4 linked regions of the Arabidopsis thaliana genome follow. The protein of the gene in region 3 interacts with the protein of the main gene of each other region in a pairwise test. Each region holds a gene or a part of one and is shown on either strand. Other genes may lie near its edges. The genes, in order: EMB2759, AUX1, AT5G03345 and AT3G06170.

Region 1 (7,272 bases), about 24 Mb from region 3:
GTAATGAAAGTTTGGGTTTGTGAACATGTGGTGCAGCTAGTTTTGGAAGTAAAAGAACGGCTTGCGAAAGATTGTACTAGTCTCCCACTTGGCAAATATGGAAGAGATGATGAGGATATGATCCTCTGGTTTTTGAAAGATCGCAGATTTTCTGTTGATGAAGCCATTGGAAAGCTAACTAAAGCTATTGTATCCTCTTCCTTGTGTTTTCTTTATCTTCTATCAATTCTTCACTATAATGAATCTAGAAAGTTGCCAGAGACTTCACTTTTATGTAGAACCTGTAGAATCAAATCACATGTTGTTTTTTGTTTTGGTAATATTGATAAGGTTTGGTTTCCATGTTATCCTTTACTTAAAAGCTTAGAAATGGCGTCATGAGTTCAAGGTAGATGAGCTTTCTGAAGATTCTATTAAAGCAGCTACTGACACTGGAAAAGCCTATGTACATGGTTTTCTAGATGTTAAAGGTCGGCCAGTGGTTATTGTAGCTCCTGCAAAGCACATCCCCGGGGCAAGTTAGACACCAGTTTTCTTGTTAAATTTCAGCAATGCAGATTTACTATAGCTGAGGATTTGTGAAATGTCTGACGTTTTGCAGCTGCTTGATCCAATAGAAGATGAAAAGCTTTGTGTGTTCTTACTTGAAAAGGCTTTAAGTAAGTTACCAGCAGGACAACACAAGATACTTGGGATATTTGATCTCCGTGGATTCGGATCTCAGAACGCAGATCTTAAGTTCTTGACTTTCCTGGTATTTCTTTCTCCTTACAGGTGAATGGTTTTTGTATCTTCTTACAGGTGAATGGTCTTTGATCTTATTGTTGTCTTTTCCATTGTTTTGTTTCTGCAGTTTGACGTATTTTACTATTACTATCCAAGCCGATTGGATGAAGTCCTTTTTGTAGATGCTCCATTCATATTTCAGCCAATTTGGCAATTCACTAAACCGTTGGTGAAGCAATACGCTTCTCTGGTAACTTCCATACCATATTGCTATGTTTTTATGCATCGATTCTAATTGCTATATACTACATAGTGTGGTTATTCAGAGGACTGGACTAGATGGATTTTTATACTTTGCTTTATGTGAAGGTCAAGTTTTGCTCAGCAGAGACCGTCAGAAAGGAGTACTTTACTGAAGAAACATTACCATCAAATTTCCGGAGCTAAAGAGGTTTATAAGAGACCTTTAAGCACTTATTTCTTCTGTTGTTGTCGATTTATATGTGTATAGATAATTTTTAAGTATGGAGAAAAGGGATAACCCTTAATATTAAAAGAACTCATTGTAAAACCTCAAAAAAGGTATCAGTATACATAGAGATAAGAACAAACAACATGAAAAGCCTTCCTAAAATTAAGAAAAAAAAAAAAAAAGGTAAACAAAGCACAGAGAGAAATCATAGAGAAGCCCTGAGAAGTCAGAATTTGAGGGTTCCATGTTGAAGATCTTCAAATCAGGTTAGCCCTCTTCAGGAATCTGATAGTTCTGCAGTAATAAGGCCATACAGATTCAACAAAATCCAGGTATTTCTCAATGATCCATTCTTGGAACTGTTTCAGCTTCGTGCGTGTGAGCTCTTTGTAGTCTGTGTTCTTGATGGCCACCACTGGTTTAAACACTAGAGCTTTAACGTCGTCTTTGAGCTTTCCATCGGCAATGTATTGGTATGCTACAAGATAATACGATGGTAGGTTTCTTATCATTTTGATGGTTTGGTTGAAGCAGAAGGCGTAAAGGGAACATAGTCCTTGGAACATTTTTATATAAAGGGCGATGATCAAGGGGCCAACCACCCACATAGGGGATAATTCCTTTGTAACTTCAGCACCACAGATCGCGTAAACAGCTAGGAAAGCTGGAACACTACAAAAAAGGTCAAGGTGAAAGTATAGTCAATACACATACAAGGAACTTGGAAAAGAAAAAAGTGGCTGTGACACTCTTAAATCTTCCTAAGGACAGTTTTTGAATATAAGTTCACATCTAGTCGATTTTCCTCTATTGATAACTAACTCTAGACTACCTCATCAAGCAAAAGAAAAAGATGCTTTGATGCTGATACTTACAATAACAGCAACGGAATCTTGATAGCTGCGTCTAGACTCCAAAACCAGGACCAAACTGTATTTTTGGTACTCTGGAGACTTTCTGCTTTCCGAATTTCTGTTTCAGTTTCTTGCTTCGTCGTTTGTGGAACCTGTTCTCCTCCTAAAGTCTCGTCAATCACTTGAATAGGTGACTGTGTGCGCAACAATGTCAACCATTTCTTGAATAGTTTCTGAATAGCGGGTTGCCCTGTCATGGAATCCTCTGTTTCCGAGGTATATGAAAACGAAGTGTTCTGTGCCTTTGGGGAGCCATTCACATTATTTTCGTCATCATCTGAACGGTAAGATAGTTTGACAGAGTTATTAGTAACTTTCTTCCCACCCTCACTTCCTCCTGATTCATTATTTTGGATGCCACCTTTAAAAGATGTAACTCTGAAAGGTTTTGCTCTCAATCCACCGTTGCAAGGGGACCCTAAACTGCAAAAGAGTTTCACAACATATTATGATTCCGAGAATCAATTGCAAAGGGAATATATGAACTATAACTTTTTAGTATAGTTTCCTATATGTTCATACGTCTCAGTATCTAACAAGGAATCTCTTAGCTAACAGATAGGTCTCAGCGTATTAAGAGGCACATTTTAATCCACAATATAACTACGTATCTACCTTCCTAGAGTACAGTCGTACAGAGAGAGTAATGAGTCTCAAACTAAGTAGTACATAACCTAAGCAGGGATTTGTAAAGTGGGATACTCACCTAAAACAACATTTTTGCTTCAATCGTAAATGCTTATCTTTCCTCTCAACAAAGTGCACTGTCGTAACAGGTCTCTTTAAACACAAGCCTCTGGTCCATGTTGGCGAACTCCAAGGAGACAAGACATGTGAACCCTACATGAGAGAACAAGGGGGAGGTAAACATCTATATTTCTAGTGTGGCAAGTAAAAGAAGGCTTTACAAGAGTGAAACGGAAGGTACAACCATTTGCAGACATGACCATTACAGAGACACAAAACAAAGTAGAATTTAGGACTTTACAGATCTATGTCTAAGATACCTGCAATTTATGGGTTACCAACACCATTGTCTCTAGCTGAGCAGTGAATCATTTACTCAAAAGCCACAATCTGAGGCCGAAGAAAGGATTGAATAAGATGATTGTAACCTCCAAAGATGATGAAATCACAAGTAGCGACCATAAAACATTAAAAGGAAATTTCATATATAGATCACAACAAAAATTACTTGACAGGAGCGAAGCTGAGCAAAATCCGAAGTAAGAGAACCTCATTAGCGAGCTTAAATATCATAAATATTCAATTTTTCAATCCTCTCAGCTGCAAAACACTCTTATCCAACACCCAATTCCCCAAATCAGATTAAATTACACTAAACTATAAAATCTAAAGCGCAACCATAAGAAACCTGGAAAATGATAGGTTTTGTTCCCTTAACAAAAGTACCCCAAATCCATAAAATAGATTGCAAATTAGAAAACAGCTGCGAAGAAACTGAGAGGGAAAGAGCAGAAGAACGGACCTCAATCATGAGCTCGTTGCCTTGGGGTTTGTTCGTCCGTGAGAATACGAAAGAAAAGAACAGAATTTATCGAATAAGAGAAAGGGAAAGAACCCTAGTGAAAATCTTGAAGCTTTGAATAAAAAAAAGCAATAAGAAAGATTGGAATTTTAGAGGGAAGAAGAAATGGGGACGCGGATAGATAGAGAGGAGAGGAGATTGGAAGAGATAGGAGAGCAGATTGCAGGCAAGCGGTTAATCAAAGGTTTTTTAATACCAACACCTCTAAACGTCGTCGTTTCGGAGAAATTACTATTAAGTTTTTTTTTTTATTAAATCACAATTGATTTTCTATTTTAAATAGTCAAATAACGAGTTGAAGAACATAGTCTTAACAAAAAAAAAAATCATTTGAATAGAACTTTCACAACTTTTTTATCAACTTTTTTCAAGATAAAAAAGCTCTTTACATTTAGATTTACATGATGTTTTGTTTCTTCAAATCATACAATCAACACGAAAATAACATTTCTTATAATCATTTTTTTGAAAACCACGACGTGAAACATGTAATTACGTTCTCAAAACTTGAAGTCCTCTCTTTTATATCGAATATCTTTGAAGGAACCAAAACTTGAATCTCTAGTTTCACAATGAATTAACTAACAACTTGATTTCATTGGACTTAAAAGGGGTTGTGGTCGGATGTTTATCAACTTAGTCAAGCGATATATGGATCTTTATACCCTGAATTTTGATCCTAGGCTTCGGCCTAATGCTTAATCGGTTAATCCAATAGTAGACTTGCGAGAAATCATGCTAAATGGGCCCTTGAGAAAGAAAAAGAAGAAAAATCAAACCAAACCGAAATCTAAAATACAATTAGACTTGTAAACCAAATTGAACCGGGAAGATCATGTGGGAGTCTCGAGGCTGCCTGTTTCAGACAAGTTGCTGAATTGTTTAATTCACCGGGTAGCTGCCCGCTGACCAAACAGATTTCCTTCTTTTCTTAGAAAATTGCCTTTTTATATTATTTCCAATTTCTGCCTATTTCCATCGACCGACTAATAAACACCATTGACCTAATTTCCAAGCCTCTCTCTATATAAACCAAACCTCTTTTGCATATACCTTCATTATCTTTAGAAGCCTCCTTTGTCTGTCTCCTCCTTATTCGATATTTCTCTTCCATGTTTTTCGTTCTTTTTCTTTTTAAGTGGTAGAAGATATTCTCTAACTCCATAAACTTATGTGTTAGCTTGTTTACACGTTGGTGATAGTTGATTGGTCAGTTAGAGAATAGATCTGGATCTTGTTCTAAAAATGTTACAATCTTTCTAATATTTAGATTTGCAGCTGTTTATTTTTGGTGTTTTATTGAGGTTTCATTCCAATAGTCGTTACAGTTTTATTGTATTTCTTAGTCAAGATAGGAAGCTTTTTATATGAGATGGTATATTCGATATGAGAAATTTACACAGTAGTGTATACACTTACGTATGATGGTGCAAAAATCTTCCATCCGCATGTCATGTCGTTTTGGTAGGCAGAGCGGCCATCTTTTGCACATATTAATCTTTGAGTGCCTTTATCATGTTTGACCCTTCGGTATGTAAAAGATCGCTATTTCAATATCTCTTCAGTAATATTGAAATCGATTTTTTACCTTGGCATACAATTTTGAATTTTCTACTTAACAAATTGTTTTGAATTTTTTTTAATTGTTTTAGACTTTTAGGCATGTTTATTGTTGTACTTTGGTTTACCAATTGATTTCAAATAAAGGGTTGTATAAAGTTTTTTTTATTAATATCGATATCTTTTTGTGTTAAATATAATTACATTCCTGGTGCCTTGTGGAGAAGTTTTATGATATTTGATTGATATAGACAATATTTGGGGACTTGATTATTCCAAGACGTTGACAGTTTGAGGTAGTTAAAATGTTGGGACTTAGATGAAGTTTATGCAGCCACGTAAAAAGACATGAATTTGAACAGAACATTATGGACCTTTTTTTAGACAAGGAGACATTCGACCAAAAGTGATATGTACATACTATTTTTAGGAAGAAAATCCAATTACCACAAATAGATTAGCTTTTGACAACTTTTCAGTTACCCAATAATTCCAATTTCCAAATGTGTTGGGTAAATTGAGGCGTCACAAAGTACCTCAAATTTTGTAACTGGAATCAGATCTCCACTTGAATCTTTTAAGTTTCAGAATAACTGGATCCCTAAGTAAAATCTTTAAAAAGGTAAAGGATTTTACAGTTAAGAACTCGAGACAGATCTGTGTTATTCTCTTCTCTGTAATAATAATAAGAAAGATGTTTTCATACATCAAGACTGGTTTTGGGAAGGTGATGATAACCACATGAGGAAGCTAGATATAGACCAGATTGAAATCACACCCAAAACCTGTATCACATTCAAAAGTGTGCCCAGTGATTTCTTGATTGCCAGATTATTAACTGTTGCCTCTGCTCCTTTAACCGTAAATGACAATGCTGTTACTAGTTGCGCCGCTCGGTTCAGCTGATGAAGTCTGTATACCTACAAAACCCAAAAAGGTTCCTTCAAAAGTGTGTTAAAGTGAAATATCTTTTGAGAGGTGTTGATTGAAGAAGAGTGATCACATACCTGAAAGATGATGGGGATGATAGGAGATGATGGAGAGTTACGATATCTTGCGTACTGTTCGAATGCAAACTGAACAACGATACCAACGAGGTATGGTGCAAGAGTAGCTGATGCTGCAGGTCCAGTCCATGGCCAGACGAATCCCATTGTCACCATTGGAATCATGAGACTCAGCACTAATGTTGCTACAGAGGAGATTCTTTGTCCTAACTGAGAAGGATTGATTCGGTTCTGGGGAACTTTTCCGGATCCTTTTCTTGAGCGGTCTATTATCAGAAGAAATGCAGCGACTCCGCAGTAGAAGAGAGCCTCGGTGAAGAACAGGATGAGGAAGTCTGCAAATAGAGGAAGAAAGATACAATGACTTTGTCTCTGCAATTTTCGAAGAAAACGTGACGAGTAAATCGGAAAAGGGAGAAGCAAGACGAACCTGTGAGCAAAGAATCTTCAAAAACTGCTGAGACTATTCTTCGTAAGTAAACTGGAGGTAAAATGAAAGAGGAGACTAAGACTGCAGGACCAATGAGCCAGAGCAGGCGTCCCCATGGACTTTGAGTTTCAGGGGGGATAATGATATCCTCAGTTTTATTCCGAGGATTGTAAAACGAAATGAAACCCGGTTTCCCGTCATTTCTATTGTATTGGATAGTTGAATCATCATCTCTAGGTGTAGCTTCGGTGCCAATTTGGGGACTTACTGTGTCTGGATCATTTGTTGTATCTTCAGTGTAGTGGAACTTTTCTTCTGAAGTAGCAAGAGGCAAATAAGTTCTCTTTCGGGAGACTTCGCTTGGTTTTTGGCCTCTTGAGGAAATGTGAAGAGAGCCAACTGTTCATAACGAATGCAAATACAGTCAGAAAACTTACTCACAAGTCACTCATACCCCCAAAGGATAACAATTAAGAGTAAGAAAGGAACTTACTTTTATCAGTTTTAAGGTGCAGAGAATGGTAACAATGGAGATGAGCAGGCTGAACCCTCGGTGAACGAAACTGAAGTTTGGAGACGACAAATATCAGCAAATATCCATAAACATGGGCTTC
Region 2 (9,015 bases), on a different chromosome or scaffold from region 3:
CCTCAAATACCTTCTCAAGTTCAAACCCAACAAGAGTATGAGACCTTTCCTAGGCCTCGTGTACCTTAAGGCCATGAACGAAGATGTGTGTTTCTTCAATGTATTCTAAATCCTGAACATGCTAAGACTATGTTCTCTTTCGTATGAAGAAATATTATGTGTTGGTACAATTCTAGTCCCATGTTTATGAAGTATTCTCGACTGGAGTAAGCGATTAATCTGGACGTTTCAACGGTCTTGTGTGTCTACAGAAACAATTTAGCATATTCATATCACTTTGTGGTGTGCGTATATACGTTTTTAAGGTCTCTCAAACTTGGTTGATGATTGGAAACAAAGATCTAAATGTTGTTACAAATTCATATAACCACTTAACTTAACCTAATCGTCTCAGGCTACTCCTGACTTCGAGTTAAGTGGATGATATAGAAATCGAGATGTGAAGTGATTTTCAGCCATCAAAATTTTCAAACAGCTCTATATACCTCAAAAGAAATCCAAGATGACAAAAAATTGATTTAAGGCCAAAGGAGAGAAAGATGCCAGTCAAATGTTATGAAAAGACATGCTTGAATAATTGGTATGAGATATTTTATGAAATACTTTTATTGCATACCGTATTTTACTATAAAACAATTTTCTTTTCACAAACACAACCATCTTAGATTTATCCATGTTAGCCGAGATTTTTTTTGTATCCAGATAGTCCACTTTACAAAAAAAAAAAAGTCTAATATAAAGAAGAAGAAAAGCCTCAAATGTAGTTGCAAAACTCACATGGCCTAAATCAGAACAAATTAAAGACGATTCACCACTCGCCACATAATAGTTTATTGACAATTTGAACCCACTCGTTACCAAGGGTCACTAACCAAACGTTACCAAGGGTCCTACTCCATATCGCATAATATGACTCACATTCACTTCTTCTTTTCTCTTTAACGATTTTATGCTATTAGAAGAAACATTTTTGCAAAGTTCTTTTTTATTTTGACCCCCAACAAAAAAAAAGTCAGATGGAAAGTACAAGAATCGGACTCTGGATTCAAACGAGAATATTAGTTAATAATTTTACATATATAGTTATAATCTTTGGGGGCAAAGTACATGTGAAAGCAGAGCATATGATAAGGGGTAAACGATTGAGTACGAATGGAACGAACACATGCCATATTTAATATGAGGGACAGGAACGGTCCTCTGATCCATTCTTTTGATCAGAGAGAAGATGAAGAGTGTCAAGTAAATAATGGCACGTGACTCGGACGAAGTATCCACGTGCGTCCTCTCCCCACACCCATGTGGCCCATAGGATATATGACCGGCTCCGTCGGTCCAACTTGTCCATGTTCCCCTATTTAATTTTTAAACACACCCTGCCGTTAAATCAAATTTTCCAAATAAATTAAAGTGTTATTTCAAAATTTTAATGTAAACTTAGTAGTATTGTCGCTGTGCTATGATCAAAACTGTATAATTAAAAGATCTAATAGGATCCTAAAGAATTATCTAGTATCGGAAGATATTGTTCATGGTAAAATAGTTTATATAAGTCTAATTAGGATAAATGTATAAGATAAGAATTGTTTTTTGTTACTAAAGACAAGTAAAAGGAGAGAAGACGATACATTTTCTTAGCCTATTGTTTTAACAATACCAAATTAAGAAATCACACACTACATATTATCGACTATTCAATTTTAAAAAAAAAACTAAGGAGTGAAAACAAAAATACAAAACCCCAAAAGAGAAAAAAATAATTAAGAGCTTAGCACGCATTTAAAGGGGTGTGTAAAAAGTACACTATTTTCGTGACTTTTACTCCCTTCACGTATACGAACACAAAACACAAAAGAAGAACAAATAATTTTAAGAACCCTCCACAAACGCATTAGAAGAACCCTGACTCGATCTCTCAAAGACGGTGGTGTAAAGCGGAGACCGGGGCATGTGCGGCGGCTGCAGCTGGTTTACATTGGTAACACTTGGCAAAGAGACCAAAAGTGTCGACTTGACGAACAAAGTTGGTTACACTAGCCCATCCACCGAACCCAAATCCGACTATAAGAACCCAAACCACCACGAAAGCATTCAACACGTACATCGCCGTCCAGCTCGGCATAAAGAACGGTGGCTTCTCCGCCGCATTCTACAAGAAAGATCCAAAACACAAAAATAATCAGAGAACCATTAAAGAAATAGAGAGTGTGTAAGTGTTTTAGAGTTTTGGTCGTATAGTAATGGACAAAATCCAAAGCTTTGTTGACCCATGAGATAGAGAGAGAGAGAGAGAGATATGATTGTGATTTGTCATACTCAGACTCTCACTTTAGATTAATGTTAGGCATAGAGTCCCTATTGTACAGCTCCTTTTCATTTCTGATTATGACTCTTACCTATTCCTCTCCCCTATTTTCCTCTACTTTTATCTTACGTAAATTTAATATACACTGTTTTGAAAGAGAGAAAGAAAAAGAAGTCATGGTCAATTACTAATACTAACCTAACCGGATATTGTATTTTTTCTTCTAAATGTAACCAAATAAAGAAATGGCTGAAACCAACTCAATAATATATTATTTGGAGGGGACGCCAGTAAGGAATGTGGGTGATGATCCTATCTTCCGTAAGATACGGAACACTGAACCCCATCTATCTTCCACAAAAGACGTTTTTGCCCTCCAATTTCACAACCCTACCCCCCAACTATAATATTCCTCCACCGACTCTTCATTTCATTTCTAAAAAATTATTGGTAACTCAATGTATTTTAGGTTAAGTTCGAGTTTTGAAACGCTAAAAGAGAGTGAGCTAGTAAAGATGTTATACCTGACGAGCGGAGGCAGATCGGTAAGTGAGCATGTGAGCGAGAGATGGGATGATATAGACGGTGAAGCTAACAAGAAGAGCACCGACAGCGGAATTGATTGGACCGAAAAAGGGGAAGATAATAGCTAAGAACCAAATAGGTATGACCACAGGCAATCTAGCCAAAGCCCTTAAGCAAATGCTCTTTGTGTCATGCATCCCAATCACTTTCTCCCACACAAAGTACAAAGGTGTACAAGCGAACCCGAACGTTATAAACTGCACGAACAAGAACACGTTGCATTAATCTCTCATGATCAAAATTTACTTAAAAAAGAAAGAACAAAAATGTTGTATGTGTATACCTGATGAATGAGCATGAGGATAACAGCGGCGTCACGCCACGCGTTCTTGGGCATAAGAGAGAAAGCGTTGGAGTGGTCGAGAAGTGCGTCTCCGAAAGCCCAGTAAACGGCGGCAGCTGACGGAATCGTTAGCGTGAACACGTATAACGTCGCCATCAAGTAAATGTACTTAAACTTCTGTGGTTTCCACATAGCATGCATAATCTCACTGCAAATTAGAAATTACTGTTAATATTCATAATTTCATCCAAAACTTTAACTATGTAAAAGATTGGATTCACAACAATCATTGACGCATAAAAAGGGTGTATTTGACATTTCGCAAAAGCGTACTATTCCTACTAGTAGTAGTAGTGCTTTGGTAGCAATAGTGTTTGTTATTCTTTATAGGGATAGGAATAATAATGGTTATTCTATTTTATATTTAAAAAGAGCTTATTTTATTAGTACTACTATTTTAAGGATTGCTAAAAATAATAATGACAATCATGATGACTGTAATAATAGTTACACCTTATTTGCCGGCAAAAGCTGCAATAGAAGCGGCGAAGAAACGATACAGCAGCACCCATAATTTAATAATATGGCACCATTTTAATTTACCATATACTTTTTCTGCCATTTAGCTTTAACTTAAATAGTAATTCAACTATGTCTGACAAAATTTATTGATCTTTTATTAGATACAAAATTAATAATCATTAAGAAATCAAAAGAAGAGTAACTTACACAGTAACCGCGTGACCTCCAAAGGTGTACAAAATATTTGTGGCTCCCGTAAAATAAAGCACTAGCTTTGTTGGACCTGAATGTTTCACACCTTCCGCCTAAAATAAACAACAAAAAAAAAATTTGATTAGGAGAATATTAAACAGCTAATTTTGTCTAAGTTATATTATACATACACTTTTTAATACAAATTTGGGTTAAGATGCAAAGAATAATCCCTGATCTTAAAGAGAAAATACGAATTTTTTTTATTCTTCTTTTTAATTAAGGCATATACTGTCACCTCAATGCAAAGCATATAAATATGAAAACGACAGTGTAGTGATCTTTATAATGTGATGAAATATATTTTTGGTGAAATATATTAAAACATTACCTGGCCGTGGATGATGGAGGCAATGGCTAAGTACCAAGCGGTGTAAGTGGTCATTCCAAGGCCAAGGAATGACCAAATTCGGTAATTGTGAAACGACGGTATAAAGACAGTGGTTGCACAACACGCGCCAAATATGTAAGTCCATGTTCTCTTGTCCAGATGATCGTTTATGTAATAAATGTTACTGCAAGTAAACACCAATCATATTTCAATTATCCTCCATTCTTAATCATTAAAGAGTGATTAAAAAGATAAAGAGAATGATTAAAAGATAACAGACCTGGCACAAGCAATGAGTTGGATAACAGATCCAAACAAGAGGAAAGTGCAATTAAATGCGAGTCCTAGTGCTTTCCAGTATGAACCAAGTAATCCATCAAGTACTTCAAACCACTGTTGAGATTTTTAAAAGTGTTAGATTAGTGAAAGATAATTATGATTTAGTGATTCTGATTAGAGAGAGAGGGTTTAAAGAGGGGACCTGAATGACGTGGTTTTTGAAGCTTTTGCCTTCTTTTTCTTTACGAGCTCTGTATTCGACGTAGAGAACAGAGATGAGATAAGCAGTCCAGCTTCCTAGTAAACCATAGAAGATCTGAAGTACTATTCCTGATAACATTCCTAGTTGACTAAACGAGTACGGTAATGTCAATAACACTTGAGCCACCTGAAACCAACGATAATTACTACAAATCAGATCTTTCTTCACTATGAGAAATCCGAAATTTTGAATCTTTAGTTTATGGTTTTATTGGTTTACTTGGTTAGATGCGCAGCTGAACCAAGCGTCCCAGACAGAGCCACCGTGCCATAGGAAATTGCTTAGGTTAGAACCGGTGGAGCCGTCGTGTTCTTCGTTATCTTTCCCGGTACGGTTTCCGTTTACCTGATCTGTTCCGTTGTCATTTGCTACTATCGCTTCTACTCCTTCCGACATTTTTTTAGCTTCTAGATCTGAGAAATAAAACAGAGCGAAAGAATCGATTGTGTTTAGTAACTAAGTGAAAACAGAGAGGAGAAAACAGAGCACATAAGAGACTGAGAGAGATCTCAATCTTGGAGAATTCAAGAAGATAAAACAGAGAGGGAAAGAGAATTGACAGTTCTTTGTTCACGTTTTTTCTCTTCTTCAGTGTGAAAAAAGAGAGTAGAGAGAGTGACTTACGTTTTCTTCTATTAGAGAAGAGAAAGAATCAGAAGCAAGAAAGACCCAAGAGTGGTTTTTGTCCGTTTGAGCTGTCACTTGTTTCTTCTCTTTTCACTTTTGTTTAAGAAAATCTCAACTCTGTACTGTTTCTTCTGTGTCTTAAAAGAAACAGAGCATAAGAAGAGAAGAACCCAGAAATGTGCAGAGGAGGAAAGAGAGAGAGAAGGGAAGGAGAAGACTTTGATCAGAGCAAAAGAAGGAATGAAGCTAAAAATACTATAAGATGCTTCGGGCTTCACCCCCTACTCCTCCTTTTTATATACCAATCTCTCTTTTTCATTTTTTCTTACTTCTCTTTGGTTTTTTTATGTAATTTTAAAAATATTAAACAGGTGCTGTAAAATCACACCATTAACTTTTGTTTAGGTAACGGTAGCATCTTACTTTTTTTTACGTTTTCGCATTGAATATTAATGTGACTATTTGACATCCAGAATTTCCGGCTTCTTCTACTATCCAATAATAAATTAAAACATAACGCCACATGGGTTCAAAATACATAAAATCGTATTTTACTATATTTCATCTACTAAAAAGCATTAGTTGTGTGACGAAAACGTATCATTTAATTCGAAATATTTAAGATATGATGACAAACAAATAATGCAACGTATTAATGTTTGACGATTTATTGACTTGTTATAGGATATAAATTAAGAGCATACTCAATGGTGGTTTCTAACCATAGTTTCTAATCTACTAAAATAATAATAAAATAAGAAATAATATTATTTAATTTGAAAAGTTTCTAAAAATAGTTAGAAGAGTCTTCAAAATCTCTTGAATTAGAAACTCTCTCACATTTCCTTATAAACTATCTTAATTAAATAATATTATTTATTATTTTATTATTATTATTATAGGTTAGAAACTTTGCTTAGAATCCACTACTGGATTTGCTCCAACATATCTAGATTTAGATATCTTCACTTTTGTTTTTTTTCAACAGCTATCTAAATTTAATACCGTACCTAAAACTAGGATGGACAGATCAATAATCTGCATGTTTTTAGAGTTTAAGGAAAACGTAATCATCCTTTGGTTTGGTTATATGATCAACCACTAAATACAAGTTTTTCACATCATTCTTATTCTAGATTACTAGCTGGAATAATCTATTCTATGGTCTAAAGTTCAAATTTTTCAATTTTTTATCCTACAAAAATTAAAGAGCAGACAAATTTAAGACACCTGATCGTCGACCGAAGGCTCATGTTTTCAGTGATCATGAGTTTGCAAAATACTCATTAGTCATTAGCATTTGCCCATCAAAGAAATAATTGGGTACTACTATACGGCATATACCAAATACTACATGATACTAAGAAATGATTGGATACTACGCCATACTCTCTCTTATACGCATATTAACACATATAGTTGGAGTATTATCATGATGAAACTAGAATTTTCCATGTTAATTATCTGACGGCTAACATAAATCATTTAGAAATAGTTGAACAGTTTAATAATTTTATGTTTGAATGATCTATAACCTATTTTCTAATTATTTCAAGTTAAAATATCTCTTTCGTTTAAATTAGTAAGATAAAAAAATATTGGCAGTAAATATAAATCATTGAATTCATATGAAATCTCAATCCTTAGATGAAATAGTAATGTAAAATAGTATTTTCTACAATGCCATTCCTGGATACATGTTAATTATTCATACTTTCTCCTAAGGTCAAAGGTAGGTAGGCATTAATATATATTGGTCTAATATGAGTCTTACTATTTTTGATACTATAAGTTATAAAATTTTGTTAATAAATTGGATATATATAGTATCATGTTCATTTTTCACTTTGCTGTTTTAAAAATATTATATTGATGTGCACTGTACGAATTCTCACGTAGTGTGAATATTAGTGTGACAACCTTTGTTTCCAAGTTTTGTAAGTAACTTGCTTGCTCAGCTGCTAAACCTCTCAGTGTTCTCACTAGTCATTTTCTCTAATTATATGGCTCGACAATACTTAAATGTTGGATACGTTATCGTAAACTTCCAGCTAAGAAACGGTTTAATTATACGTAGACAAATTGACTATTTCTTGAAACTTTAGAATATAAACAAGTCTACTGATCCATGAAATTTAATCAACTTGCAGAATATTCTAAACAAATATCGTATACTATAAGATACATAGAGCCTATGTATCTAGTGTGTGTATTTATGTAAAGGCGGCAATGTTGCAGGTCTTCTTTAATTTGGTGCAGAAACTGCAGATTTTACCCAACGAGTTGCTTGCTTTTGCTTCTGTTTCACGCAATATTATATAAATTTTAGTTTGCAGTTAATGAAAATAAATTATACAAAACTTGAATTTACAAGCAACTCAAACTTCAGTTGTATATTAGAGCGTCTTCTGTCTTCAAGACTCCAACCCACCTCTAACAATAGGAACATATTTTTCATAGGCATTCAATTATCAACTCCTAAATTCAATAACGAATGGTTAAATATGAAATATCATTGTCTATCACTTCCCCAAATATGTTCATCCCTCCATTTTAGAGTTTTTTTTTTTCATTTGTTTTAATCACATACTTAGCTAAAATTATAAAATAATTGTTTCAAATAATGATTAAAAAATATGTAACTGATCATTAATGTCGATTTTGAAAATAACTCTTCGGAGATGACCTGTTTTTTATGGAGGACACTATAGTTTTTTTTTCTCCATCTTTAAACAATTAGGTTTCTAGCTATCTACATTCAGCATAAAAGTTAGGCGTATGCTATACATCACAACGTTTTTCAGAAATCGACTTAGTTTCTGATATAAAAAAAACACTTCGAAATGATTTGACGGTAGTTTGATCATCACTTGGAAACCAAATTGCATTTCTACTAGACCTAGAAAAATAATCAATACTAATACTTAATAACTAATACTCGGTTTTTAAAGGAGATGGCAATTGTTATAATCGGTTATTAATTTTTTGGTCAAAGATAAACGGTTATATAATGTTTGAAACACCTGTGTGTGTTTTTAATTAAGCCAACTATGAACTTAAAGTTAAATTATAATAAAAAATTGAATTTGTAATTTATGTTGATGGAGAAATTTTATCCCAATTCTTGTCATTTATTCTTTTAATTACATTATATCTATGTTTCTCACGCATGCATAAAAGTCAAAAATTATATTGCTTCATCACTCTCAGAAATTTCTTTCCATAATTCTCAAAATTATTATAGATTTTCACACTCCATCATTCATAATTTTTAGATCAATAATCAGGTGTGTTTTATTTCTTGTTTTCTTGGTTTGAGAATAAAACTTTAACAACAAAAAGAATACGAAATTAAAACATATAGAAAAATGAAAAAGTCTGAACCCAAGACCAAGAGCTCTTGTGTCGGCGTAGGCTGGGAGCGGAAACACTCGAGAATCTATGAACCCAAAGACTTAAAAGTTGCTAAGCAAGTCCGAGCCGAGCCACGAAGTCACAAGCTTTAAAGCTTTGCAAAAGAAACATGCGCACTATGAACACCTGCGCCCCCACACGCCGCCGTTTCATCA
Region 3 (6,152 bases):
AAGAAGAGCTGAATCTATGATATCCGGTCTGTTAGTTGCTCCAATAATGAATACCGTCTTCTTTGCATTCATTCCATCCATTTCTGTCAAAAGCTGATTCAACACTCTGTCAGCTGCACCGCCGGCATCACCCGCGCTGTTCCCTCTCTGAGTAGCAATGGAGTCTAGCTCATCGAAAAACAGAACACAAGGAGCAGATTGACGAGCCTTGTCAAAGATTTCTCGGACGTTGGCTTCACTTTCTCCAAACCACATTGTGAGAAGCTCGGGTCCCTTGACACTGATGAAGTTTGCTTGGCACTCGTTTGCTATAGCTTTGGCTAACAGGGTTTTACCACATCCAGGAGGACCGTAGAAAAGAACTCCCTTTGATGGAGACATACCAAACTTCTCGAATTTCTCTGGATGCTCCACAGGGTATTGAACAGTCTCCTGAAGCTCTCTCTTAACATTCTCGAGACCTCCAATATCCTCCCAGGAGACATTTGGAACCTCCACAACAGTTTCACGAAGGGCGGATGGGTTGCTGTTTCCAAGAGCAGTGTGGAAGTGTTCATTAGACACAGCCATGGAATTGAGGATTTCGGCGTCAATTGAGTCATCTTCCAAGTCAATCACATCCATCTTCTCTCTGATACATTGAAGGGCAGCTTCAGTGCATAGAGCTGCAAGATCAGCTCCAACATATCCATGCGTGTCCTTGGAGATTCTTTCTAGATCAACATCTTCAGCTAGCTTCATGTTCTTCGTGTGGATCCTAAGAACTTCAAGACGTCCAATTTCATCAGGAACACCGATATCAATTTCCCTGTCGAATCTTCCAAACCTTCTCAAAGCCGGATCAATACTGTTGGGACGATTTGTTGCTCCCATAACAATAACATGGGCACGTGATTTTAGTCCATCCATAAGCGTAAGGAGCTGAGAGACAATCCTCCTCTCAACCTCACCATTCGTCTTCTCTCTTTTTGGTGCAATAGAGTCAATCTCATCAATGAATATGATAGACGGGGCATTCTTCTCAGCCTCCTCAAATGCTTTCCTGAGGTTGCTCTCACTCTCACCAGCTAGTTTCGACATGATTTCCGGTCCATTGATACAGAAGAAGAATGCTCCGGTTTCATTAGCCACAGCACGAGCAATAAGAGTCTTCCCGGATCCAGGAGGTCCGTAAAGCAGAATTCCCTTTGGTGGCTTCACACCAATTGATTTAAAGAGTTGTGGATGCCTCAAGGGAAGTTCAACCAATTCCCTAATCTGAGCCATCTGTTTCCTGACACCACCAACATCGTCATAACCAACCTCATCAAGCCTTTCTTCGTCCTCCCTCTTAACTGGTTCACCCTCACAGAAAATCTCTGTATCTGGAGCCACCACACAGTACTCAGCAGGATCAGTCTCGATCACTTTGAACTCCACACTCCTCATTCCTCCTCTCACTAGGAAAAGATCTCCCTTCCTCACTGGACGGTACGCCTCCAGAAAGTAAGCTGGTGAAAAAAACAATATAAGTTTAGAAAACACGAACTCCAAAAGACAAGCTAGACTATGATATGAAAGAGAGAATCAAAAGATTAAAGCAAACTTACGTTTCAGGTAAGCATCAAAGAGGTTTCCAGTAACGCCTTCAACTGTATCATCAACAGGCAAGATGTGAACACGCTTTCCATACTTGACATCTGGGCATTGGTGAACAGAAATAACATCTCCCAGCCTAACCCTCAAGTTAGACCTTACAACCTTATTCATTCTGATCTTGGGTTCCTCACATGTTTCATCAGCGAGGGCAATGCATACAGTGTCCTTCCTCTTCTTACCCTGAAAATCCAAAACCCCAATCAAGTAAGTAATCACAGAGATAAAAAGAACAATCCAAACCAATTCTAAACTCAAAAAAAAAAACTTCAGACAAAAAAGTTGTACCCTAACTGAATATGTTTACAAGATCAGACAAAGTAAAAAACATAACTGAATATGTTTACAACATGCTCGTGATATACAGTCAAGACACAGACGATCCAAACCAAGTCTAAACTCAAAACACCCTAACATAGTGACATAAGGAACAAAACCTAACCTTGATGAGAATTGTATCGCCTCGGAAAAGCTGGAGTTTTTCCATGGTAGTAGGATGGAGAGAGACAACAGAGTTGTCATCGTTAATAGCTTCATCGACAACAAGTCGGTTTGGAGACTTCTTCCTCTCTAGAATCGCAGTACTGAAATCCTTCTTAGTTTTCCTGAAACAAATACCCCAGGAAGACAAACAAAATCAGCTTTCAGATGAGATCAAACTAAAAAACCCTATTCTCAATATCGAAAAACCCAAGTAAAAAAATCGAAACTTTATGATCGGAAAACAAAAATCAAAGATCTAAGTACTTACGAGTCGGAGGATTCCGGTTCGTTTGACATAATGATAGCTTAAACTGACAAGAGAGCTCTAAGAAGGAAGTTGGGAAATTTGTTTCTAGAGAGATCGATTGGTGATGATGATGATGATGATGAATGGGATCTCAAGGGAGCTGAACTCGGGATTTTATACGCTCTGTGATTTCCTTCTTGTTGGAAAAATAAGCGACCCTTAACTTTTAAGTTTATCTTGAAAAGTTCCAAAAACTAGGTGTTGTGATAAATACACCCATGTTCCCTTAACATCATATCAATTAATTTATATTATTATATGATTTATCGAGAATCAAAACAAAAATCTACCTATATGAAGAATTAAAAAATTTGATGTAATTTTAAACTTATTTTAATAGTGTGGCGAGGGTACGTAAATGTTTATTAAAAACGTTATGGGGGAAAGTTGAAAATAAAAGTAAAAGAGAGGTGAGGATAACAGTTTTACTTTCTGGTTTTAGCAAACACAAGAAAGGAATAGAAGGTTCTTAGGTAGCGGTACCAAAGCAAGCTACATGTTTTTCTTACTTTTTTATAAATAGAAATTTAATATCTTACCATTTGATTTCTTTGTTCTAAAATAGATTTCCGTTTTTTTTATACGAAGTTATCAACATACGATTCAATTCAATAATTGCAGAAATTTTTGTTTGCATATGAATATATCATCAATATGAAATTCTAAATAAATATTCATAATTATTTATTATACGAAAAAATAATTATTTTCCCAAAAGATAAACCCTTATTGTTGTAAAAAAGTTATCAAACTAACTGAACTTTCATCTAATTAAAAATATTAGTTACTTAAAAAAAAGTTTGGGTTACAAAAGATTAATAGGAATCTAGGATATCATCAATCTAGAACTACGCGCCGTTGTTAGTCTCTTCGATATTAGACGTTGCGCCGTTTTCACTTTGAGATTTGCGATATTATAACTACATGCCGTTTTAAACTCCACTGATCGTCTTCTATTCTAGTTCGATTCTCGACGGAGAATACTCGACGAGAAAATCCAGATCGGGAATCAACTTAGAGAAGAAGAAAATTAAAAAAGAGAACTTCTAAAGATGAATTTGGGGTTCTTAGTTGGAGTTTTCGGCGTTCTTATTCTTTCTCATGCCGCTTATTCAACAATCCAATGTATGTCTACTCTTCCCAATCCAATTCCAGTTCCAATTGAGTCAGATCTACTTTAATTTTCGAGATAGGATCTTGATTTGGGTTTCTCTTGTTTATTTCAGATAGAGGATTGTTGAAGATTATGGAGGAAGAGTTTTCTCGACCACCGATTAATGTGAGTATATAATGATAACGGTTTCTCTTTTCCTCAATTGTGTTTGAATTATATCAGCAATGATTATGCTTTTATATGAATCATGATTGGATTTATTTAAGGTTATTCTGGAGTTGATCATTGGACTAGCTCTGTGTATGTGGGCTGCTTTGACTTTCCCTGGTAAATTTCTCTCGATCCATCCGGATTCTGATGAAAACAGGTTTGTGATCATGTTTCTCTCGAACTCTCTGTTTTGCATCAGTGTTAATCAATCTGAATTCATGTTATCTAGTGAGTGTTTTTACTATTGAATTTTTCTCTGTTCGTACTTTGTTGAACTTGGTGTAGAGTTACTACGGGTCTTATAGAAGCATCTTCTGGCTAGATTTGGTTCAATTATTCAGTTTAATCATGGGTGTTTCTAGTGAATATGTTTTCTTTTGACTGAGAAGGTTTACGGATGTGTTGTTAATCAATTGATTCAAAGAACTTGTGCTCTAGAGATGTTTCGAGGGTCTAGTTTTGATGTCTCTTTAACTCTCTGTTGTGCATCAGTGTTTATCAATCTGAAACATGGAAATTTGGTAGTTATTATATTTCCCGATGATTGAATGACCACCAAAGACTCATGTTTATTGATAAGAAACTGTCGTCTAGAGATGTTCTAGGTCAAACATTGATGTTTCTTTAATACTTTGTGCAGCTAAGGTTTTCTAAAATGCAGGACATTCAAAGGGACATTTTCTAGTTTATATTTGGTCCAGTTACGATTATGGGTTTCAAGAGCTTTAACCAGTTCTGCTCCTGGCTAATTCAATCAGTTTATATTTGTTTCATTGGCTCTTTAGACCCACTTTGGTTCCTTCTATGTCGCAGCCTCTCCCCTACCTTTTTGTACATTAGGTTCTTGAATTGGTTTTGAGTTTGGCTTTTGCTAGATAAAGTGAATATCTCCTGTTAACTGGTTTCTTTCAAAAAATTTGCAGGGCGGTGTTTTTACCAGATAATTCGGATTTCATGATATTCAATCACCGTGGCAGACTGTTCCCACCGCAGATCGACATGAAGTTTTGAATTTTTATCACACTGCTTAGTCAAACACTGATCTGTGTAATGTTATGAGATGTTTCCATTGAAATTCTACTCTAAGTAACTACTCTGCTTTGCATCAATTTTTGATTCTTGAAACGAGTCTTGTGATGTTTCTGTGTGTCAGGTCTCTACTTAGAATCTTTTAGAATGAAGAATCAACATAACAACAAGTGCACAGGTCCTAGCAGGATAGGATACTGTGTAAATAGTCAAATACAAACAATTAAAACAACAAAATTTGCTATTTTATTCATTCCGGTTACAACTTTCTGATACATTAGAAAAAGCATAACCGAACAGAACCGGTTTAGATTCTCTTGGCACTGTTCTGGAAGGTCCAACTCCAAATGTCATGACGTTCAACGCCACGGCCCATGGCACCAGAAAAACCGGGGTACATATTTTGAAGAAAAACCTTAGAGAGATCTAAATGGGCAACGATCAAAGGCTTCTTAGGTTTCTTAACGGTTTCTGGCGCGAGAGTAACTGTAACCTTGGAGTTTCTATACTCAATCCAAGCCTTGTACCTCTCTCCATTACTCAGCTTGAACTCTTTAAACGACCAGTGTTTCATTTTCCCAATTCCTGTCTGAACCCAATAACCAGCTTTCTCAGCAACAACGGAAGTAACAGAGTTGATATTAATCCCGACATGGTTATCATTAATGTCTCCAAAACCTTTGTCCTGAAAAACGTCGAATTCGACAGCAAAGATGTGGTTTTTGGGGTTGCCATTGTTGGTTTTGTTGAATATCCCGAGGTATCCAGCGGGTCCAGGACCGTCACTTTCAATGGAAGGGACGACAACAAAAGCAAGGCCGTGACCAGGGGCGGGTTTGATGCGAGTAGAGATGGAGAAAGTGAAAGAAGTTTCAAATGGATAAGGAGAAGAAGAGTTTGAAGAAGGCTTGAAAGGGACTGGAGTGGACCAAAGACTTTGGCCGTGAGAGAATGGGTTCTCGTCTCGTGTCATGGAGAGAGCTCCGGAGCGGCTGACGCCATCAGAAGCAGGACCGAGCTCAGCGTCTCCAAGGAAGACCAACTCTGAGGTTTTGAGGTTGAGGTTGAGGTTGACGGCGGAAGTGGTGTGAGCTAAGAGCAGAGCAAGAAAACAGAGTTTATGAATCTTCATTGCGTTTTCGTAACTGCTGTTTACTCAAGTGAGAGTTTGAAAGAGTGAAATTATTAACGTGGTGATTTATAAAGAGTAAAACATAAGCCCATGTACATGACGTCATATTGTATGATGTCAAGTAAACGCATCACCTACAAGATTTCCTTATCCTTTCCATAAATTGAACTCGACCAATAAAAAACGTGATTGTTAATAATGGAAAGAAAAAAAAATTAAAACAAAATCATCGAATGGTCACA
Region 4 (7,159 bases), on a different chromosome or scaffold from region 3:
TAACCATTTCTCAGGGAAAGCTAAATAAAATAACTGTAATTTGGGAGACAGATTTCTCATAACTGAAAATATATAAATAAATATACTGAAATAAAATGATCACTTAGATTTAAAGTTAATTTTAAATTTATACATATTTATTTTTGATTTTTTTAAAAAAAATCTTGCATGCTAGGATAAGAGATTGTTGAAATAGACTAGTTTTGTTTGAAACCATAGAAAATAGTTAATAAGTGCATGAATAATATTAAAGTTTATGTACAATCTATGGTGTATATTTATATCAACATTTTGTTGTTCTAGGATATAAAAATCTAATTACATTTATGTATGATAACTTCTTGTTTAATTATAAGAAAATGATTTACTTTCTTTCTATAGTATTTTTATAAAATTAAAATCTAGAGTACATTATGAAAGAGTAAATACATAATACTAAGAATTCTGTCAAATACAAATGACCAAAATAATTAAGTACTTCTATAGCATGATTGAGTTATCATAAATCTGTTCTGGTCAGAAGCTGAACTAAAAAATAAAACGGTAGAAAAATGTCTAGAGTTAGTAGCTAAAGTCTACCAAAGACCAAAGAAGATCGTTTTCATTAAAGTTATAAATTATGTCCTATGTTAGAGGCTTAGAGGTAAACGATGTTGTTGTTTTAATCTGAAATATAGATGCTAATCAGCATTCCACATGGTTAACAACATTACATAGAAGAGTTCGTCCATCTTCTCACTTGAAATTATGGAGAATACAATAAGTCAATAACTATATACACACGGACGAAAATTAACTATAATGGATTTCAATTAATTTTCAGATTTGCTATTGGTGTACTTTAATGCCGATAGTTTCTACTTATATTCATCTAAGTTTTCAGCAAATCATACGTATGTCATATGTCTTTGGTTTCACTAGCCGTTTAATAAGTCATGTCATGTCTTTATTGATTGGCTTGCTTTCAAATTTTCAAGACTGACAAATGAGGTTTCTTTTACAGTCCAAAAAACAAACAAAGAGGTTATAAGCTTTATAAAGTTGGTCTATATCACATGATGATTGATACGCTCTTCTTATGTGGTAATGCGAAGATGGTCAAATATGTGTAATTGTTCTACGTTTTTTTTATCCATACGAAATAGTTGTTTAAAGATATTTAAATGGTTTGTTATCAGTATTTTCTTAAACAATGTAAATTTGTGTCCGTATCATAGTGGGGACTGGGGACAACAACATTTTACATACTAATCATTGTCATATGATTGTACAATTTGTCGATAGAGAGATATAGGAAAATTTAAGAGTACATTAGAATTGGAACCTTTTGTGTGTATAAAGCATTGGTCATAAGTAAAAGGATATGAATAATTGCTATAAGCCATACAATTAAAGAATTAAGAAAAAAAACATGGTTTGTCGGATTAACATAAAAGATTTTGTCCTTGAGGATTATTCCAAGGAGAAGGCCCAAGGAAGAATCAACAATAGTATAACTAAAACTAATTCTAATAGCAATGATAACAAAAGGGAAAAGGCTGCTTAATGTCTAGTGGTTTTAGTTATTTTAATGATTGATTAGATCAAATTTAAACTATGATTGGATTCTTACTGAAATTTTCCTGTTGACTCTAATGATTCTTTGACTTCAAGTTGAGCATTTCTACCATAGTCCAAATTTAGTGGCCTACTATTTATCATAAAACAACACAATCATTCAAACAGCATCCAAGGTCTTTTAGTTGAGGTTTCTTCAATTACAAGTCTAGAACGCGACACAAACTACTACCATAATTATAACAAGACCATACCCACTATAAGTGACTACATAAACATATACATAACATTCAACGGACCGGACTATATACATGTTACCCTCTGTTTAGTAGAACTCGCGATCTGGAAGGATGAGTGGTGCAATGAGTGTCCATATGTAGAGTCCGGCCGTGACCCAACCCGTGCATATCTTGACCCAGACCGAGGTCCATCCCACATCGATCAGAGTCGCACTCTCTGATGAGTCAGTCCATCCCGAGAGAAGCATTGCAGCGTACATGCTCGCAAGCGCAAAGATGATATGGAAGAAGGAGTATGAGTAACTCACAGGCCGTGCCTCGGCTTCACCACTCTTCTTCCCGTCCTCAGGGTCCCCTAACAATGCATCCTTCACACCTGAAAAAAAACGTTTCCAGTAAAAAAGAAGAAACAGAAATCCGAGTCTGGTTCAGAATTATTATTCACAAAACCGAAAAAACCAATGCCCAGGCGTGTTGAAGAGGTTGGCTCAGGTACCTGATCTGGGTGAAGACGGTGGCGAGAGGAATGTGGTGGAAGAGCCAGCTCGGAGGGCGGAGTATAGAACCGAGAGAACCGTAGTGAGCATTCCAAGGATGAGAGTACTTGCGTTCACTGCCTTGGATTTGTTAAGGCCATTGCACACATAGTCATGTGGTTCGCTAGAGAGGCCCGTGTAACAGACATAAGCACAGTAAACCGATATAACTGATGCCGGTAAAAGACTGCCATTCACCGCAGGATGTAAAGCAATAATCGCAAAAACAAAAGCCAAGATCATCGGCATGACAATGAAGAAAACATTAAGTCCACAATCCTGACCAGATGGGTTGAACCAGATGAACAGGATTCCTGAGAAGGTATATGTAGCAATGTAACACACGATTGATATGACAAGCAGAGCGATGTACCTGCACAAAGAATCCCATTAGTCAGAAAATTATAATTTATCAAACTTCAACAAAAAAAAAAGGCCCAAAACAGAATATTGGAACAAACACAGGACAAATGTATAGAAGAGATGCTGATGATACCATTTCTTTTCGTCCTTTTCGACCCATGAATCATTCCAGTTATGTGTAGCATCTAATAATAAGACCACTTGAACCAACAGAAACGCTCCAGCACCAAATTTTGACAACGTTCCTAGAACAATGTGCAAGCACTAAGATTAGCCCGCATATATGGTTTAATATTAAAATCCACAACTTTAAAGTCTCAGTCTTTTAGCAGATATTCAAATTTCCTTGTCATACTTGCAGCTACACCAAAGTATAATATATAATCACACAAATTGCCAACCAGCCCGATTTAAGATCATCAACTAATACTTGATAAAATAACAGCAATGGAATTTTGCAAACCAGTGAATTTCCAATAACATAAACATAACGTGATATGGTAGCACTTTATGTTGGAAACTATGAGGAGCAAAAAAAACTTACCATATAACGAGACGATAACATTTGGAACAAAAAACATGAGGACAACAAGCAAAAACCAGACAATCATCTTCAAACCCCACCCACCATGGTGCCACGAGTCACGCCTGTCATTCTGGTCCTTGACACCAATCATGATCAAAGCATATATTGCAAAGAAGAGGAAATTCCCAAAGCTCACACGAAGAACAGCTTGTTGCTGATACCATTCTTTGGTATATGAATCAGAAGTATTGATCCCTGTTTGTCAAACAACATCCAAAACCGGAGATTTGTATCAATAGGCGATGAAGTTTCCTTTTGCAACACTCAAAATTCTCTCTTAGATCAAGCAGGTTAACACAAAGCATAAACAAACGCAATTGAAAGTTGAAAAACATCCAAATCAACACAGATTGAGATTTCTAAAGTTCTAGTACACAATTATCAATCTGTTGCAGCTACAAAGCAACCAAATTTCCACTGAACCAATACAAATTAAGATTCATACTTAAACGCTTAGTAAGATTCAAGCACAAGACATCACCCAAATCTATCGTTAACCACCGGATTCAATTCCAATTGACAAGATCAAAGAAAACCCAATTTCGAAATTTGATGGTCTCTTTCAATTCCAATCATCAATCTCGGCTAAAAGGAACCTCCTTTTTCACAAACCCAGTTCAGAAAAGGATGAGAGAATCGTACAAGGGAGTTTCTCGAGGAGCGGAGCACCAGTCTCACGAAGAATCCAGGAGACGACAAGAGAGGCACCGAAGAGACCACAATAAGCGATCCTCGCTGATTTCCTCGATATCCCCGATGCTACCGACGAGCATAATCCACAAGTCGCCGACGCACAGCACGAAGCTAAGCAACACGCCATTGTTTCAGAGATTTTTTTTTGTTTTGACTTTCACAATAATCTGTTCTTCTGTTGTGAAGAAGAGATATCACATTTTCGAGAAATTACGAAATCTGTACCTAACATATTAAAACGATCATTCTAACCCATTTTACATGATTGTAACTTGTAAGAGAAACAGAGTGATTAACGGGTAAGCTTAAGCCTGCTCCTCATTGTGTTTACTTCAAAGTCTACAAGAGAACTCAAAAGTCTTAAACATGTTTTGAAATTAGACATTCTAATAGTTTACTACAAAAGACTAGACTCGAAAGAGAAGAAACACAATTGCAGAACTGCATCAGAGAATCAAGTGCTTGCTGCTGCATCGCGGAAGATGTGAATCTTGATTGCATAAACCACTTTGTCCTCGTTGCGGAGAATTTCACATAGGATGGAGTCATTCTCTGTGAACTGGTTTCTCTCGCATATTTTCTGCCATTTGTTTATGCAAACCCGTTGATCTGCCCACTTGGTCGTTTTCGCGGTTAGTTTTCCATATCCGTCAATATAGTCAACATTGTCGCTGAATATCAAGCCGTAGTCTTTCACCAACTGTGCATGAACTAACTGTGCATAATGTATATAGAGCTTTAGTTAGAAAAATAATCATCAACTCGTGAAAGGATTTTTAATGAGACGAGATAATAATATCTAATGAAGTCTTACCAGCTCAAACTTTCTAAGCTTAAGACACGTCTCAAAACAGACATTGTTTGGATCATCCAAATACAGATGTGGATTCTCAATGGTCTTCCTCTTGTCTGCAAAATTCCCATTTGAGATCAAATTCTAAACAGCTTCGGTTATAAGCATCAGTTAAAAGAACAATGTTTACTTACAACTTCTCTGCCTGCTTGTTGTTGGATTCACCACCTCAACGGATTCAACAGATATAGAGGCTGAGGGTAGGTTCTCGGGAGAATACTCACTGTCGCTCTCTATCTCAGCATCACCATGAAGAGAATCGTTGCTAAGGCTTCGAAGAGAAACGTTGCTAGTGCTATGATGAGAATCGTTGCTAAGGCTATCAAGTGAAACATTGCTAGGGCTATGAAGAGAAACGTTGTCATCTTCTGTATCATCAGAGATCTCTTCAACTTGAATGACTGCTCGAGTCTCTTTGCAATCTCCACGACCATAGATACTTACTTCATAACTTTTGTGCCCATCAAACACAAAAGTTAAGAATTCTCCCTCTTTTAACTGGTTATCAGCAACGAAATTTCCCCAGCCTTGTTCAAAATACACTTGCTCTTGCTTGCTCGTCATTGCTACTTTCCAAAATCTTCCACCAGTTCCGATGAGAATCGCAGTCTTGGGCAACGGACGTGGTAAAAGATTGTAGTAAGACCTTGGTATCACCTGCTCAACACAAAGATGTAGCATAAACTAAACTGTTAAAAGTGAGCAAAATATAAGCTAAAGACTCTGTCTGCAAGCGGAGGTAAACAGACAAACAACAAGACCAAGACCTCTTGTTCAATTTTTTCAACAAAGGAGAAAACTCTTTGAGGAAATTCAGTGTTTAGTTTGACATACTCTATCATATTCAAACATAAGTAACACAAACAGAGATAATCCTGAGCTCATTAGTGAAGAAAGTTAAAACTTTTGTCAGTGTCAAGAGATTTAAACATATAGAGTTAAGAATTAAGATAATGTTGCAGATCTCATTCACATCGTTACTGTATCCAAGAAACATATCAACCCAAGCAGCTTTTTCCATGAAATATTCCAGAGAAAAATCTCACCATGGATTCGGAGCTGCAATGGGAGAGGAAGACAGTGAAGAATCTAGGAAGAACATCACCGGAAGCCATGGAAGACGTATGAACTGTGAGAGGAAGAGACAAAGAGAGCAGACGAGTTAGGGAGAAAGAAGAAAGCTACAGAAATTGGGAACAAAGAGAAGAGAGACCATTACCAAGAGGCAAGCTGATCTGGTCCAAACGGTTCTCTTTAATCTTTAGGAAGAAAATTTCCAGAGATTGAATTCTGAAAAAAGAGAAAAGTGAGAGAATACAAAGGAAGCAGAACACAGTTAATGTGTGTTTCTTACGTACGAACCTGTTTTTCTCTGTCCTTGCTCTATGCACAACCAATGAGAGAAAGCAGCATTGCTTTTTCACTTTATATTATGTTATCTTTTAATAAACTCTTTGACCAAATATCTGCAACAGATCAGGTGAGAAGAATCAGTGACAAAGATGCAGAGTTCATAATTGAGAAAGCGTTTTTCTCCTCACTGAAACAAAATCATAAAAAGCTAGATGCTAACAATACTATCAAGCCCATTAAATAGTTAATGTAGGCCCATATTCGGCCCAATAATTAAGATAGTAGGGAGTCTCATTATTGGCTGAAGAATGTAGAATGTACTCATGTAGCTCTTTTCTCTTGGGCCGAAGACTTTTGGTAGCTTTGGAGTTAAAAGTCACATGATTAAACACAGCCTCAACGGCCAACAACAACATATTCAAGATTAGAGCCATTAACGTATAAGCTCGTTTAGTGAGGAGATTCTGTAATAATTTACTCTTTTTCTTACTTTAATATTCTCTTGCGCTTTAAATTTTATCAGTTTGGTTTCTTAGAGAATTTTAAAACTGCGAAAAAGTATCATTTTTATGTATAAGCTAAATTCTATCTTGAGCAACAACAAAAAAAAAAGGAATTCTTGAATCAAAGTAAGAAGATTAATAAAATAGATGAACTATTTTTGTGAATAATGTGAATGGACACTTTGATTAAGCTAAAGTGGTATTGAAAATAGACAACTACTAATCTAAGAAGAAGAAAATTCTTATATTGTCTTATCAAAAATTGTTAGTTGTACTAAATCTCCAACGGTTTTCCATTTACTGATAATTATAACATCTGAGCTAGCTCTTTTATCTTTTTAGCCAAAAAAATCTCTGAAATTGATATTTGGATAATTACTATTTTCTTTTTAAAGTGACAATCGTCTTATTTATTGAGCCATTTTTTTGACAAAACAATTTTTTTTCTTTTCACTTCTGCAGAGAAAATAGGAGCG

Evidence for each region.
Region 1: the proteins of AT5G03345 (region 3) and EMB2759 interact in a protein complementation assay, tested with the Arabidopsis thaliana proteins (one large-scale study listed by BioGRID).
Region 2: the proteins of AT5G03345 (region 3) and AUX1 interact in a protein complementation assay, tested with the Arabidopsis thaliana proteins (one large-scale study listed by BioGRID).
Region 4: the proteins of AT5G03345 (region 3) and AT3G06170 interact in a protein complementation assay, tested with the Arabidopsis thaliana proteins (one large-scale study listed by BioGRID).

The regions. Positions count from the first base shown.
Region 1 is NC_003076.8:25,288,983-25,296,254, reverse strand, and holds EMB2759 (embryo defective 2759), read right to left. Parts: upstream 3,852-7,272; 5' UTR 3,611-3,851; coding exon of another isoform or gene 3,602-3,610; intron 3,190-3,601; 5' UTR 3,147-3,189; coding exon 3,120-3,146; intron 2,953-3,119; coding exon 2,819-2,952; intron 2,805-2,818; exon of another isoform or gene 2,561-2,804; intron 2,536-2,560; coding exon 2,074-2,535; intron 1,871-2,073; coding exon 1,456-1,870; 3' UTR 1,260-1,455; downstream 1-1,259. Other genes in the region: AT5G63060 (Sec14p-like phosphatidylinositol transfer family protein), read left to right, coding at 37-189, 368-514, 602-754, 854-976, 1,096-1,173; AT5G63040 (uncharacterized protein), read right to left, coding at 5,929-6,141, 6,229-6,563, 6,659-7,057, 7,152-7,221.
Region 2 is NC_003071.7:15,969,693-15,978,707, reverse strand, and holds AUX1 (Transmembrane amino acid transporter family protein), read right to left. Parts: upstream 5,833-9,015; 5' UTR 5,444-5,832; intron 5,233-5,443; 5' UTR 5,216-5,232; coding exon 5,039-5,215; intron 4,946-5,038; coding exon 4,760-4,945; intron 4,672-4,759; coding exon 4,559-4,671; intron 4,463-4,558; coding exon 4,279-4,462; intron 4,001-4,278; coding exon 3,903-4,000; intron 3,382-3,902; coding exon 3,174-3,381; intron 3,088-3,173; coding exon 2,830-3,087; intron 2,742-2,829; coding exon of another isoform or gene 2,736-2,741; exon of another isoform or gene 2,150-2,735; coding exon 1,916-2,149; 3' UTR 1,528-1,915; downstream 1-1,527. Other genes in the region: ATMAK3 (Acyl-CoA N-acyltransferases (NAT) superfamily protein), read left to right, coding at 1-69. UniProt on the Arabidopsis thaliana protein: Carrier protein involved in proton-driven auxin influx.
Region 3 is NC_003076.8:810,719-816,870, forward strand, and holds AT5G03345 (membrane magnesium transporter-like protein), read left to right. Parts: upstream 1-3,366; 5' UTR 3,367-3,477; coding exon 3,478-3,554; intron 3,555-3,651; coding exon of another isoform or gene 3,652-3,655; coding exon 3,656-3,704; intron 3,705-3,805; coding exon 3,806-3,997; 3' UTR 3,998-4,589; intron 4,590-4,672; coding exon of another isoform or gene 4,673-4,760; 3' UTR 4,761-4,901; downstream 4,902-6,152. Other genes in the region: AtCDC48C (ATPase, AAA-type, CDC48 protein), read right to left, coding at 1-1,490, 1,590-1,818, 2,078-2,240, 2,387-2,415; AT5G03350 (Legume lectin family protein), read right to left, coding at 5,086-5,910. UniProt on the Arabidopsis thaliana protein: Mediates Mg(2+) transport.
Region 4 is NC_003074.8:1,864,462-1,871,620, reverse strand, and holds AT3G06170 (Serinc-domain containing serine and sphingolipid biosynthesis protein), read right to left. Parts: upstream 4,207-7,159; 5' UTR 4,102-4,206; coding exon 3,924-4,101; intron 3,477-3,923; coding exon 3,240-3,476; intron 2,941-3,239; coding exon 2,829-2,940; intron 2,706-2,828; coding exon 2,293-2,705; intron 2,173-2,292; coding exon 1,883-2,172; 3' UTR 1,658-1,882; downstream 1-1,657. Other genes in the region: AT3G06160 (AP2/B3-like transcriptional factor family protein), read right to left, coding at 4,429-4,689, 4,789-4,883, 4,962-5,484, 5,874-5,956, 6,047-6,117, 6,190-6,250.